2 linked regions of the Notamacropus eugenii genome follow. The protein of the gene in region 2 interacts with the protein of the main gene of each other region in a pairwise test. Links are inferred from orthologs where the notes say so. Each region holds a gene or a part of one and is shown on either strand. Other genes may lie near its edges.

Region 1 (7,889 bases), on a different chromosome or scaffold from region 2:
CTCTGTGCCACCTTCTTTAAAAACATCTCATTTGATCTTCACAGCAACCCTGTGACCCATTTTACATTTGAGGAAACACAGGCAAATAGAAGTTAGGTAACTATCCCAAAATCTCACCTCCTCAGTGTCTGAGACTGGATTTGAACTCAGGGTTTCCTGACTTTATGCCCAGCACTCTATCCACTGTACCACCTGGCTGCCTTTAAAGTCCAATGGGTGTCCATACCAAGTACAGGGCAAAGATAACAATAACCGTAATAATAGCTAGCATTTTTATAACACTTCGAGGTTTGCAAAGCACTTTACAAATATTATCTCATTTGATCCTCACAACCACCCTGGGAGGTAGGTGTTATTATCATCCCCATTTTACAAATGAGGAAACTGAGTTACAGAGAGGTGAAGTGATTTACCCAGGTTCACACAGCTGGTAAGTGTCTGAGGCAGGATTGAATTGAGGCTTTCCTGACTCCAGGTCCAGTATTCTTATCTAGAACGAAGGGCCAACAGGCTGACTAAAGAATAGTGACCCACCTAGGTGGAAAAAACATGGCAAGTCAAAATTTCAGTACCAATTAACAGCAGGTCAGTTCATCACTGGCCACTGCACTTACTGTCTGGGTGAGACAGGGAGACCTAGTGTTAAAAAAAAAAAAAAAGTCTAATTGTTCACCTTCTGTTTCCTCCCAATTAACATAGGGATGGTTTCAGCACAGTAACTTCCATGACAAGAATAGAGAAAAATACAGTATGGAGGACTATACTAAGGAAAAAAAAGTCTTGTCAATAAGATTTCTACCTTCCAAAAATAAAGGTAGGAATGTTCTTCTCTTCTTAATTTTCTTGAACTCGTTTATGGTATATTCACATAAAAATGTCTTGTTATGAATTTAACCATCTTTGATTCATGTAAGCATTTCAATCTACAAAGTACAAGGAAGATAACTGTAGAAGAAATTACTGTCACATTCTGCCTTACATTACACTTATGTGTGTACACATGGTCCTGTTACTCCTTGGTAAACTTTTTGGCCCAGGCTATCATGGAATCATCCTTGTAGCACCAGCTGCTTGGTTGAGTGCCTCCAACATAATAGATGCTTAAGCAATGATCACCAAATGAGATGTAGGGAGAAACAGCTTATTTAAGTTACAAAACTCCCCAAGGAAAGTCCCTAGCTTCCTTTTTTTTTTTTGTTTTGGTGGAGAATTATACAGTAAATCATAGTTACTTAGCTCTTAGACATCTATTTTTAGCTCCAAATACTTTTTATTGAATCCATATGTTAGGTGATGATGTGCTTAGCACAGTGCCTGATACACAGTAGGTGCTTCATAAATGTTGCCTGATTGATGGATAGGCAAGGCAGCTTGGGTCATTGGAACAGGCACTGTCTCTCAAGTCTGAGGAGCTGTTTTCAACCCCTAACTCTGATGCTCACTCTGGGTATGGTTTCAGACAAGCCAGCTAGCCTCTTTGAACTTCAGTTTCCTCATCGGTAAAATGTGGGGATTGAACTAGATGGCTTACTAGCTCCATTCCAGCTAGAGCTCTATGATCCAATGCTCCAATTCTACCTCTTTATGTTTGGTTTCCAGAAGGCAATTTTCTGTCCTGTTCCTTCAATTCTATCCTATTTTGCTGGTGGAGGACGTAAGAGGGAAGATAGTGGAGGTAGCAGGTACTCCTACTCCAAGCTGCTCTGGATTTGTTTTTGTTTTTGTTTTTTTTTGAGACACAGAGACAAAGAAAAGGACAGTCATACTAAATCACAGAAAGGCACAGAGACATGTACAGAGACACAGACACATGTCAACAGAGACACACAAAGACATATACAGAGAAAACACATAGAAACAAAAAGACACAGCGACATACAGAGATATGTACAAAGACACAGAGGGAGACAGAGTACACAGTGAGTAGTCATGAATTTTTAATTCATAAAGTCAGAGTGACTTGAAACTAGGCTTTTTTGCACTAAGCTCTGGATAGCTTCTTTTTAAATTCTGGAATAAATTCCAAAAGGAGGGAATAAAAGGCTTCTCAGGTGATTAAAAAAAAAAGCACCTGTGACTTTAGGATAACTCAAGTAATGCTCACTTTAGCTCTATCAGGCTGGGGCTCTCCAAGCTAGGATACTCCAAGAGGTTAAGCACCAGTTCAACATTTCCTGGCCACCCTGAAGAGAAAGGGTGAATCACAGACAGACTCCCCCTCCCAGAGCTAGTCCAAGAGAAGCTCTTCTCCCTGACTCCTCCCACCCCTCCCGTACCTACAGAACGGTGTCTCTAGTTTTGCCACCTACCTAATGATAGTTAGAAACTGAGTCATGGTCAGCTCCTGGGGAACGAGGAATTTGGTTTTGTCCAGCGGGGGAAGGTATTTCTCCTTCTGATAACGTTCAACTATCACCTGTTAAAACGTTTAAACATAAATTGAAGCAAAGCCAATTGCTCCCTTCTGAGTGGAACTGAACAAGATCGCTTGCCTGGAATCACTGAGTCCAGGTGGGAGTTAGTGGGAGAGTGTATCACGGGGCCCTGTGGTTGTTCCAATACTTTATTGATCACGGCTCAAGACAGTACCATTATCCCACCCACCTTCTACCACAGGGACCTCCTTACCGGTATCTTGCTTGGGAACTTTTCCCGGATCCCAGCAACTTCCTCTTTTCTGATTGCTGTAATGGCACACGAAGAGTTAATCAAACAAATGAAATGAGGTCTGTATCCATCCTTTCCCCTCGTTCCCCACCTCTCCTCTCCTAGGAGGATCCCCCTTAGTTGTACCTAAGCTTTTCCGTTGCTTGAAAGGTCGAATGGATTGACTTTTCTGCTGAGGTTGCATTTTATTCAACAGGTTTTCTGTGAGGATTGACTTAATGTAAATTTTTAAATTCCCCAGTAATGAAGGGCTGTGCTATTTCTTTTTCTCCAGCTGCTTTCAAACTGTCTGCAAGAGCCTAATGAAGTACCTTATATAGTCCTGGGTGTGACATCATGTTTTCCCCCTCCCCTTTTCCCCCCCACCCCTCACAACCCAAACCCACAGCCTGTGAAGTAGAGGTCAGCCTCACAGATGGGAATGGAAAAGTGGGTCTGTTTTGTTAGTCAGAGCAAGTCCAAAGTTGCTTTGCTCATTATCAGAGAACATTTTCCCCTTTACGGCTAAAGGAATGAAGGCATCCTTATACCACTATCTTCCTACCTAGCCTATTCCATGAAATTCTTCAGAGGTGAAAATTCCTCATACTAAAGCTCTTTGGGTATTTCCGTAACTATGTCCTCTTGGGGGGAGTCCAAGATTGATCTGCATTATACTGAATTCTGACCTAGAATCAAGTGTTACAGCAAAGTTCTATTTTGAATTTGTTCTTGACTTTAGCATATCATTTCCCCCTCATAGAATCCTACTGAGGGATAGATGTCATAAGAGATGGAAGACAAACATTATTCCCAAGATTCCCTATTTTATAGACGAAGAAGCTGAGTTAGTTAGTAGTACCTTTTACTCGTCTCTCAGGTTTCAAACTCAAAAACCACCTTTGACTCCTCTCTCTTCAACACCTGCATCTCATCAGTGGTCATTTCCTACTCCAGGTCTTTTGCATCTCTCTTAATCTTATCCTTCACAGTGTTACCAGCCCAGTTGCATTCTTTGTTACTTTACTGGTGGGAATATTTCAATAACCTCCTAACTGATCCTTCTGCCTTAGTTTTTCCCCTTGCTTTAAATATACAGTTGTTACCTTAATTATGTTATAAAAACATATAAATATCCCATTGTCAAAGTCTTCTTCAAATCATGTTACTCCGTACTCAAAAAATCTTTAATGACTCTCTACTGCTTTTTAACATAAAGTCTAAACTCCTTAGAGGTTCACACTGTACTCTAACCTACCTTACCAGTCTCATGTTAGATTTCTCCTTGTAATTAACTTTATCCTTTAGCCAAACTGACCCACTTGTCACTCCCTTACTAGATCCAGTCCTTTCCTATCTCTTTTCTTATAGCATCCCTTGTGCTTTTAGTTAATTCTTTTTAACTCTACCTGTTGAAATCATTTTCAACCATAAAGGTATAATTCTGGCCTGGGTCCCCCTAAAGCGTTTCCTTATTCTCTGTAGGTGAAAGGGATACCTCTCTTGCTTTACTCTTTTATGCAATCTTTGAATCCTTCCTATGTACTTATCCATATCTATATTTGTAATGTTAGTAGGAAGTATTAGAGATATTTGTATACATATCCCTTCTCTCCTATTAGACTACAACCATCCTGAGAGAAGAAATCATGTCTGATTCATCTTTGCATCATAAGTTACTAACTCAGTGCCCTACAAATTTGTTGTTCAGTCATTTCAGCCATGTCCTTCTTTGTGACCATATTTGGGGTTTTCTTGGCAGATACTGGAGTGATTAGACATTTCCTTCTCCAGCTTATTTTACAAATGAGGAAACTGAGACAAAAGGTTAAGTTACTTGTCCAGTGTCACACAGCTAATAAGTCTCTGAGTTCATATTTGAACTTAGGTCTGACTCCAGGTCCATCTCACTGTCCACCCACCTGCCCCAGCTCTACAAATAGTAGGTGTTTCATGCTTGTTAAATTGAATGGGATGCATTTATTGGGACAAGAACCCAGGACTTCATACTGTCAACCTTTTGTCTTTCTTTATAGACCATAACGGGTGGCTCTGCTTTTATTGTGGTAAGGAACTTTGGAAGAGTTACTTTTCCATCTTTGTGTTTTTATTTTTGACTCCTGTCCTTCACCTTGAACATCTTTTTTTCTTCATCTGTTTAAATCTTAAATATCTTCCAAGTTCTTGAAATCCCATTATTCCACAAAGCCTTTCCTGATTACTCCTGACTATACAATAATTTCTCTTTCTTCTGAACTCCAATGGCACTTGCCTTATAAGGAAACTTTCTGAATATGTATTTTATTTCCCCAACTAGAAGTTTGTTTAGAGTAGGAAACAGTTAAGTAAAATGACATAAAAGAATGATCGGACTGATACATGACATGTACTTTAGTCTTTTTTTTTTCCAGTTTGTTAAAGGATGATGTATGTTCAATAAGATATTGATGATGCTTTTGATTTCTGAGGTACAGTTTTTCTGGGGTTATAGATCATAGGATGATTGTTGAGGGTTTGATGATATGGTGAAGCAAATTTACTAATAAATATATTTTTTAAAGTAAGAAATAATAGTGCTCTGTATTCTCCTATGAGGTCTAGCATGGTGTCATGAATTTAATAGGCATTAGATGCTCAGCAAGTATCTGTGGATTGGTATTTCTGTGCTTCCAGTGGAGCAAGGCTACTTCTCAAAACAGCTCGTTCCACTTTTGCATTTCTCTAATTAGTAGGCAACTTTGTTTACATAAAGACTAAATTTGCTTACACAATTTCTCATTGCTCCTAGTTCTACTCTCAGGGGCCAATCTGAACAAACTGAATTCCTCTTCCTTCTAGTATCATATCTTCTTCTTTTCCAGGCTAAATATCCCCATTTTCTTTAATCAGTTCTCATATGGCAAGAGATCAAAGTCCTTCATTGTATAGACTGCTCTCCTTTGGATTCTTTCTAACTTACAATGTTCTTTCTAAAATATAGTGATTCATTAATAATGACACATTAGGTACATCCATTCAACCACATCTAAATCTACCTAACTATGCTACCATGTGTCTTACTTCTCTACATATTGTCCACAAGAATAGCCAAAATACTCTGCTAAAAATACAAGTCAAAAAAAAAAAAACCTACACTATTCCTCTGATCAGACCAGTCTAGTATATCTGTCATGGAGAAAAAGAGCGAAGTCTTCCATAACTTGTTTTTTAAATGCATGTTCAACATTATTTGATTACAAGCAATTGAACCATTCTCATGACATATCAACACTCTTACCAACATATCTAGTCTTATGAGCAAACATAGCATGATTTGTTCTCAATGAAGCCAGGTTGGCTCTTTGTGATCACTGCTACATTTTATAAATGTCCACTAATCATTCATTTAATCTTTTTCCTAGAATTTTTCCAGGAATACAAACCCAGCTTACTGGTCATGGTTTACAGACTCCATTTTCTTCACTTTTCTGAAGATTAGGACTTTTTTTTTCACCTTCATAATCTTCCACCTCTTCAGAAAAAGGAGGATACTGTTTTCTCATATCTCTTCTTTGTGTTCAGGCTTAGCCAAAAGCATACAGTTTTGAACGGAGGTGGTGGTGTTATTTATTTTATTATTGTTACTGTATATATTGTTTTTCCTGGTCCTTCTTGCTTCACTTTGAATCAGTTCATGTAAGTTTTCCTATACTCATCTGTAGTCTTCATACACATTTCTCCCAGAATCATTTTTTTGTTGCAGTCATTTCCTACAATTTGTGTAGTACTTTTGTTCTAGTTCTTGCCACAAAAAGTACTACAACCAGTATTTTGGTGTATATGGAACCTATCTTTCTGCCTCTGACCTCCTTGGGATATGTGCTTAACATTTCTTGATTAGTCAAAGATCCCTCAGGGCCTTGGCAAACAGCTGCTCCTTCTTGTCATGGACACAAGTTCACCTTGGTTAGGAATCAAGGACCTAATGGAACTGTCTGTACAAAGCAGATGTTGAGGGATATTAGAAAAAGAAAAGATAAGAAAAAGAAGCCAGAAAAGGATGTCCAGAATTTCGTAGTGAAAGGACTCCAAGACTGGGCTGGGTTATCTGTCCCAGAACCCTCCCTTTTTACTTCAGGAATCTTTCCAAGGGCTTTAATCCTGACTTTATGGAGAGGCCAGTGTGGAATGGTATGATGTTAGTGCAAGTCTCCTGCTATAGCTGATAGGGCATAAATAACTAGACTCAGATAAGACATGGTCTAATCATACTAATATTGATATGATTAAGGAGAATTTTAAATTTTACAGAAAAAATGAATTATTTTTTTTCCTTCCTGGGTTTAACTCTAGGTATATCTGGAAAGAGTAATGGGTTTTTTGGTCATTAGAGACCGGGATTTAAATCCCACCTCTGACACTAGCTATGTTACCATGAATAAATACCTTCATCTGAGTCTTAGTTATCCATTCTCTAAAACTGGGTTAATAATCCCTTAAGTGACCTACCTCACTGGGATGTAGTGAGAACTGGAGCAGAGAAGATATATAAAGGGGTCTGTAAATTTAAATCACTGTGTAAATGCCTATTATTGCTGTTCCTATTATGTTATACCACTTGCCAGCAAAATTTCAGACCAATTAATTTAATGAAATACAGAAGCTATTTCTCTAGTGTCAAATTGTAGCTGGAGCCAATTCTGGTTTCCATTTTAAAATCAACCACTGATTAATGGTTATGGAAGCTTAAAGTCTGCTCAACTAGCCGCTATAAATACTTAAATTGGTTCCTACAGGAGCAGCAATAGCAAAAGATTCATGTACTTCAACACAAGACTCCTTGTAGGGGTTACCTGAATTTTTTCTTGTGGTCATTGTATCAAAGTTTAGTGTACTCCAGTGCTCAGCTAGTTAGTATGCCTTCCTCCTTGACTACATGGATGCCTCAGTGTTCACACAGACACAGTCACTGGTTTTATGAAATCAAATATAAAAACTGGCATGTATAAAATACATAAAATTACTTGAGTCAAAATGCATTTATTGCAAGCTTACTATGTGCCAGACATTGTTATAAGTGGTGGGTAGTACAAAAAAAGGCAAAAAGATGGTCCTTATTGTCAGGAAGTTTATATTCTAATGGGGGTGATAACTTATGAACAACTATGTGGATACAAGAAAATTTTAAAAACGAAAGGAACTTTGATGGAGGAAGGAATCAGCATCTGGGAGACATAGGAAAGTCTTCTTGGAACAGGTGGAAT
Region 2 (7,176 bases):
TATTATTATTATTTATATAAATATATAAAATATATATATCTTGAGGTAGAAAGATTTTTATATCTTCTTTACACATGAAAAAACTGAGGCTTAGAGACTTGTCCACATTCCTACCACTACAAAACAGTCAAATTGAGATTTGAACTCAGTTCTTTCCTGACTAACACTACCAGGCCCTCTATTATTCCATACCATCATCTCTAAAGTTACTGAAAAGCTTCTTTAATACTCTGATGGATGTGAGTACAACAAGGGTGAGTCCCAGGGCCAGTGGGGATGGCAGCTTATGCCTTCTTCCCTTTTTGTGTATTTTCTGAACTTGTACCCTGTAAGTCTTCACACAATCTACATGCCAGAGTCCTTGTTCTGGGTCTTTGGATCTTTCCTGGATTCTAGTGCAACCCAGGGCCTTGCATCTATTACCTCTTCATTCCTTTCCCCATACATGTCCTTTACTGAACATGTTTGTGAGGATGCTTTTACCCTATTTCCTGTATCCTGGCATAGGTTACAGGCTCCTGACACTACCAAGCACCTCTCCACTGACTCTTGGACCATCTACCATTTTGATTCTTTGAAGGTACCCCTTGGTTTGTTGCCATATGGTATTCCTAGAAGAATACTGGGGTTAAAAGATGGCACTAAGGGACTTTGTGATCCCAGAAAATTCTACACCACTTCCCAAATGCAAGCACTCAGCTTCCTATTTAGATCTGATCTCAAATCATCATGACTCATTTGCAACACTTGTCCAAAGTAAATATACTGCTGGACTAACTTGGTGGACTGAACATCACTAGCACGCCACAAGACAAATTTTCTGTTGCTCCTCTCCACGCCACATGTCTTCCCATTTTGTCTCGCCCCATGTTTGCCATCAGCATTTTCTTAGTTATGCCATCTTTGACTTAAGGTCTTGGCTTCTAATGTCCGATCTCCGCATCCAGTCAGTGTGACAAGGTTGAGGGGTGATGGGGACCCCAAAATATTGACAGTCTGGGTCGTGCTAGAATGAATTCGACTCAAGTCTTCTTAAAGCCAAAGAAAACAAAGTTTATTAAAGATTTGCCATCTTGGGTTGCCTCTTAAGGAGCCTAAGCACTTGTAACGCTTGCATTCACAAGCGGGCCGGACAGAATCCCAGCTAGACAGAGTCTGAGCTGGATTGCATCTGAGTGCCTTCATGGAGGTGAGATGGAACTAAACACAGAAAAGAGTATAGGAGGGATCTGGGGGGGGGGGGGGTGTCCAGGGTGATGGGAGGAGGGGTTTAGGAAGGGCCTTGAGGAGAAGTTCAAGGAGGGAATCCAAGGAGGGTCAAAGGCTGGAAACAGCTGGAGGCTATCAGGAGATATCAGACTAGGGGGCGCCTAGGTGGGAAGCAGGTGGGACAATCAAGAGGTAACAGACAATGGCCGCAGATTTGAGTACGAAAAGCCAGGTTAAGTGAGGAGATACTAGGAGAGCTCAATCTGAGTATGAAAAGCCAGGTTAAGTGAGGAGATTCCAGGGGAGTTCAAGGAAGTTCTCAGAGTCTGAACCCCATCAATTGCCCTCACTGTGGTTCAGGCCTCTATTTCCACAGCCTCCAGTTTCATTATGCCAGCCACACGGAATGCAAAGACAAAATATTTTCTCTGCCTCCAATTTCCCTTTCTTATTCAATCTTTCTTCATGCTACTTTCCTGTTCAAAAAACCTCATTGGCTCTATATCCCGCCTTGGTCTGATACTCAAGGCTTTCTGTAAGCTAGGCATAACTTTCTTTTTTCTAAATTTATCTTTCGCTCCTCCCACAATTGTATCCCCCCTTCCTCTCAGAAGATCAGAACTGACTGGACTCTGAATAGGTTTGAATGCCCTTCCTACCCAAGTAGTTCAAGGTCCCCTTCTCAATCTCATTTTACCCCAAATGTTCACAAAGACTATTTGTGCCTGACCTGCGGCAGAACATTCTGAGCTCATGTTGGTCTGATCAGCTACAGTTGGACACATTGTAACTTGACTCTAGCATAGTGATGTCATTTTGATCCTCTTTGGACAACAAGTATCTTTCCATAAGTCCCTAGTACAAACTGTTGCTTGGTTTTCAAGGTCTTGAATAACATGGTTCGCCCCTATTTCTAACCTTATTTTATATTAATCCCTAACTTGTATTTAGGTTATTATTCTCAATGTCTCCAGAAAATGCCAAGTTCATTCCCATTTTGAAAAGTATAAGGAAGGCTTTCCTTCCTATTGTATCTCTGGCTTAGAATCATTCCTTCTGCCTTGCTCTCTAGCCATTGAAATCCCACGTGATCTTCAAGATCTGTTTTGGTGTCTGATCTCCCATGAAGTCATGACAATAATCTCTCCTCTCTTCTCTCACAGCAGAGTTGTGTGCTACAAAACCTTAAGCTTAGTGGTATGCTGCCTGTTTGGTAATGATTGTTTTATGTGTGTTAGGCAGAGACCGTATCTGGTATTTCTGCATCCTTTGCAGCTCCTGACTCCTGAGCAGAGGAGAGATGGGTTATTTCCATCTGCTCACACAGTGGAGTTCAACCTTCCAGGATCACTTAATCAAGCACTTACTATTCCTCTTCTACTAAGCCTCCCTCCCCCATTCTGTTCTGTAGTGGCGACTCCTTTCTCCAGACTCCCAAGATATCTACTATACTAAAAGGCAGTATGGTAATGGTGGCATTTCGGTGGACTTGGCCTCAGCAGCCTAAATCTTGTTTCTGATACTTGTAGCTGTGTGGTCATGGGCAGGTAACTTCCAGGTTTCCCATCTGCAAAATAGGAATATTCAATAATATCAGGGCCATCATGAAAAGCAAATGAAATGAAAAATACAAAGCTTTGATAACTTTTTCTTGGTAGTTAACATTTTATGCACAGATGTCATGTCCACATTATTACTGGACTTGAGCTCACAGATTGCCGGATGTGGTATTTCTTTTTAAATTCTTTCTAGTATCTTGCATCACACTGAACACTCAGTATATCTTGCTGACTGATACTACCATAAACCTTCTAGGTGCTTGGTCAAGGCGGGCATCATTAAAATGGAATGTATTAGCATATGTGGGGTTGGCTGAACCCCTGGATTTCTTTTAGATAAGAATGGAAGCTAATTGCCCTAATTGTTGACTGTGCTAAAAAATGCAAAGCAAGAAAAACTCCAGGAAAAACCCTGGGGCTGATGTCACTAGATCTAAAGTTTCTTCACTTTCTAAAAGGTCAAGATCTTCAGATGGAGATTAAACCATCCCCAGCAAAGTGCTTACTAATGTCAGTTTCTATTTCTAGTTACAGTTATCACTATACTAGTTACAGTAACCACTATACGTGTAGTATCTCTATGGATGTAAGTACTAAGCTGCCTTTATCCTCATATACGTATTTGTGTACGTGTATGTCATTTGCACACGTGTCTGTAGACACACAGAAACCACTGGAGGGAGAGGCAGGAAGGCTTACTGGACCAGTAAGCAAGGGGTGCCCACGACAGTGGCTTTCTGTACAAATGAAGTTTGACTGATGTCCTGTAGACGAGGGTTGGATCCGAGCCGTGGGGGCCCGAAGCTTTTGGAGGCACCCAAGACAACGGCACGGATGGCAGACGGCCGCCCGGCCATGCGGGTCAGGCAGGATTCGAACCCAGGTCCTCGGGCTCCCATTATTTATTTAGTGGTTACTACGCGACTCCACCGTCCGCCAGCTCCGTGCTGGGCATCAGAGAGGACAGAGACCTCGGCAAAGTTCCTCCCCGGTTGGGGCTGACCCTCCGCTGGGGAAGGGGATGTCGCAGGCGGGAGGGGAGGAGACAGTCCTTCCCCTTCATCCGCGAGCCCCAGAAGCCCTGGGTTCAGATCGTGCCTCGAAGCTGTAGCAGTGTGGGCCTCAATTCCCTGATCTGTGAAATGGGGGCGATAACAGCCCCCCCAACTCCCCCTCCCGGGCCTGTTATGAGACGTGCTCTGCAAACCTGACTGCGCTGTGACGCAAGCCAGGCAGCCCTGCCTGCCCTCGGGGAGGCAGGATTCGAACCCAGACACGGAGACTCGGGTACTGACATGTCCCTCTCCGTCCCGGGCTCCGAATGGGAAGGCGCAGGGGGCGGGACTCCAGCCCCTGGCCGAGGGGAGTGGCGGGTTCAAGCCCGGGGTCGTCGCGCCTGCGCAGACCTGGCGCCCCGCCCCCGGCGCGCCCCTTCCTGCCCCGGAACGAGGCTGCACGCACGCGGCGGAAGCGAGCCTCCCGGAAGGACGGAAGTGACGCTCACGGCCGCGATTGGCTCGCCCCTCCCTCCGTCCCTCCTTTCCCCGCTCCTCCTCCTCGGTCCGTAGGTCCGGCCGTTCGTCCGCCTGTTTGTGGCGGAAGGCGCCCGGTGGCTGATGGCCATTCTGAGCGGGAGGCCCTGGTGACGCTGCCCAGCCTTCGCAGAGGCCTCTCCGGGCCAGCCTGGGGTAAGAAGCCGGGGCTGGCGGGCGGAGGCCGGGCGGGATTGTGACGTGCCCGCAGGGACTCGGGCCCAGGGGGCAGGGGGGCGGGCGCTCTCTGCCTCAGTTTCCCCTTCGTGAAGTGAGAGCTTCCCAGAAGAGGAGACGCCGGGACTAGAATCTCGGTAGCCTCCACGCGTATACTCTAAGCGCCCAATGAGTGCTGGTCGGTTGGCCCACTCGGGCCCGGAGGCAGAACCAGGGGCGGCACCGTAAAGAAGGAGGAGCTGGGCCCTGGAGCTGAGGGGGGGCGGGCGGGGAGCGGCCCAGGTCCTCGGGGTGTCGGGAGGGGGAGGGGAGCGCGGGGCGCTCGGGAGCCCGTGTTTGTGTATGGGGCGGGGAGGGGCGGGGCCTGCGGGCGGGGAGGGATCCCGCGTACTTCCGGGATGGGCCAGTGCCGTTCTGCCTCCCCCAGGCAGTGCGCGGGCTGGGGGGTTCAGTGCCCTTTGACCTCACCGGACAGCGGAGGTGTTGGGCAGAGCCTGACCCCGCGCGTCCGACTTGGGGCCGGAGACCAAGTGGAGTCGGAACTTGGGCTTTTGAGAAACGTCCGGGAAGTTAAGGGGGGCTGCGAGAGCCTGGGGCGGGGGGCGGCCCTCGGAGCGGCGATCTTAAGGGCTTGATGCCAGCCAGGCGCGGGGGGGAGGTTACGGAAGGCCCCGTAAAAGTGCGCTTTCCCCTTCCTGCAGCCGAATTACTGGACCAAGCGCGCCCCGGGTCCCTCTCAGCTGACGCAGACGGTAGCCTCCGGGCTGACCCTGGGCTGGGCAGCCCTCTGGGAGGGTGACGTGTTCGAAGTATCTCTAAAACAGTGAAGGAGGGTGCTGCTCTGAAGGGCTCTTCAGGTGTTTAGGTGGCCTCTGTCTGAAGGGTTTTATGCGGGAGGGAGCGGACTAATTCAGGTGTCTGTAGGTGGAATATGCAATGAAAATGCAGTGGGAGGCTGTCCGTAGTTTTAAAAATGGATAGAGGTCCACTGGCCCTGGAGTCCGGAGGACCTGAGTTCAAGTCGGGTCTCAGATATTTGACCCTGTGTGACCCCCTGGGCAAGTCACTTACCTCCATTACCTCCAAAAAAATGGATAGAGATGTAGCCTATTTCTCTACTTTCTCTGAAAGTGGTAACATTTAGTGTGCCGGCTCATTTATTGGCTGGATTCTCAGAGGCAGGAAGATCTGGGTTCAACTCCTGCCTCAGACGAGGACTGGCCCTTCTCTGACACCAGAAGTCGAAGAAGACGCTGACCTGCTTTAGGAGAGGGAGTCGAAGTTCTTTATTTCAATAATAAAATCACAATCCATCCTCCTTGGTGTCATCCTTATTTAGAGCTGATAAATTACATAAGGTGATTGGAAAGAAGCTTATGACCGCTGACATCATTTACGGATCTTTTCCTAAGGATTGCCCCTGCTGCATTCAGTTCGTTAAAGTGGAATGGGTAGTGCCGTGGAGCTTGTAACCGTCAGCCGGCCTCAGACATTGCTGGCTGTGCTCGTCTGACCAAGGCTCTAACCAGGCTCTCAGCTGCACTTTTTTCCTTTGTAAAATAATAGCACTGACCGTAACAGGTTCTTGTGAAGGTCGAATGAGATCATATGTGTGGTATATAGAAAGATTGGTTATTGTTAACATTCTGGAAGGAAATGTGATAACCAACAATCCTTTGTCTGAATGGGACCGTAAAATCTGCCTAGAGAAGTGTAGGGAATCATACTTACCGAGCTCCCACTGTGTTCACATAGGGAGCTGTATATAGGACTCTATACAGAAATGTACAATGCAATTATTGCCTTTAGAATTTAGAATAAATTAGAATTAAGATTAAGAATTTAGTTCAAAGACTTCCTGATGTAGAGTTCCTAGGTGACCTGTAAGGATCCCAAGAAATTGGGTTTGGCAGGCTGAGGACTTAACTGGAGATTTTGGATAGGCAACATGAAATGTTTAAATGGACTATTGTGTGATTGTGATTGTGTGTAACTCCTGGTTTTGACTCCTCAGTTTTCACTCATTTTAAATTGGTCTCCCATTCCTGGACCCTTGGTAGCAGAAAGTGAGATTGAAGCCTGAAGTCGCCGTTGTGGCTCCTATTTGCCCTTCCTTCTGTGGAGGGTGGTGAATGGGAAGGGCTTCTCTCTCTGCCAGTGCGGCAGGGCTGTGTTTCCTCTGGGAATGGTGCTGTTTCCAAACAAAGTGAAGGCGGTGGGAGACTCCATCAGGTTCTGGGGGAAGAAAAGGAGAAAGCGAGGGCATTTGAGGCAGTTGCAGACTCCTGGAAGCCATTTACACATGTAGAGGACAGGAGGGACCAGGTGAAAGCAAGGTTAGCAGAATTTGGAGGGAACTGATAGGGATTCTTTATTCCATTCCATGAGCCAGAGTCATCTAGCTGTTAATTTGTGATGGTTTGAAGATGGGAAATTTGTTAAAATAGAAGGAAAGGGAAGAAAATCATGACCTATCCCTGCTTTAATCAGCTCCAGTTTCATCCTATGATATGTATTGCAAGTTACTTGTATTGCCATTTAGAGAATAATTCTATTAGTTCTGTGAATATTTGACAATATTCCAACGGGAAACCCCCCTCCAGTGTAGTCATGGAAACATTTTTGTTTTGAATTTTATTTTTTATAATGTTGACATGTGAGAATTCAGACAAGCACAATGACCATGACACAGCACTCCT

Evidence for each region.
Region 1: the proteins of TAX1BP1 (region 2) and MAP1LC3C interact in binary tests that used the Homo sapiens proteins (3 or more experiments, as listed by UniProt). The link is inferred for Notamacropus eugenii from reciprocal best matches to the Homo sapiens genes TAX1BP1 and MAP1LC3C.

Annotation. Positions count from the first base shown.
Region 1 is NC_092873.1:402,775,600-402,783,488, forward strand, and holds the start of MAP1LC3C (microtubule-associated protein 1 light chain 3 gamma), read right to left. Parts: upstream 3,015-7,889; 5' UTR 2,852-3,014; coding exon 2,794-2,851; intron 2,685-2,793; coding exon 2,629-2,684; intron 2,417-2,628; coding exon 2,310-2,416; intron 1-2,309.
Region 2 is NC_092874.1:18,740,690-18,747,865, forward strand, and holds the start of TAX1BP1 (tax1-binding protein 1), read left to right. Parts: upstream 1-4,176; 5' UTR 4,177-4,456; intron 4,457-7,176.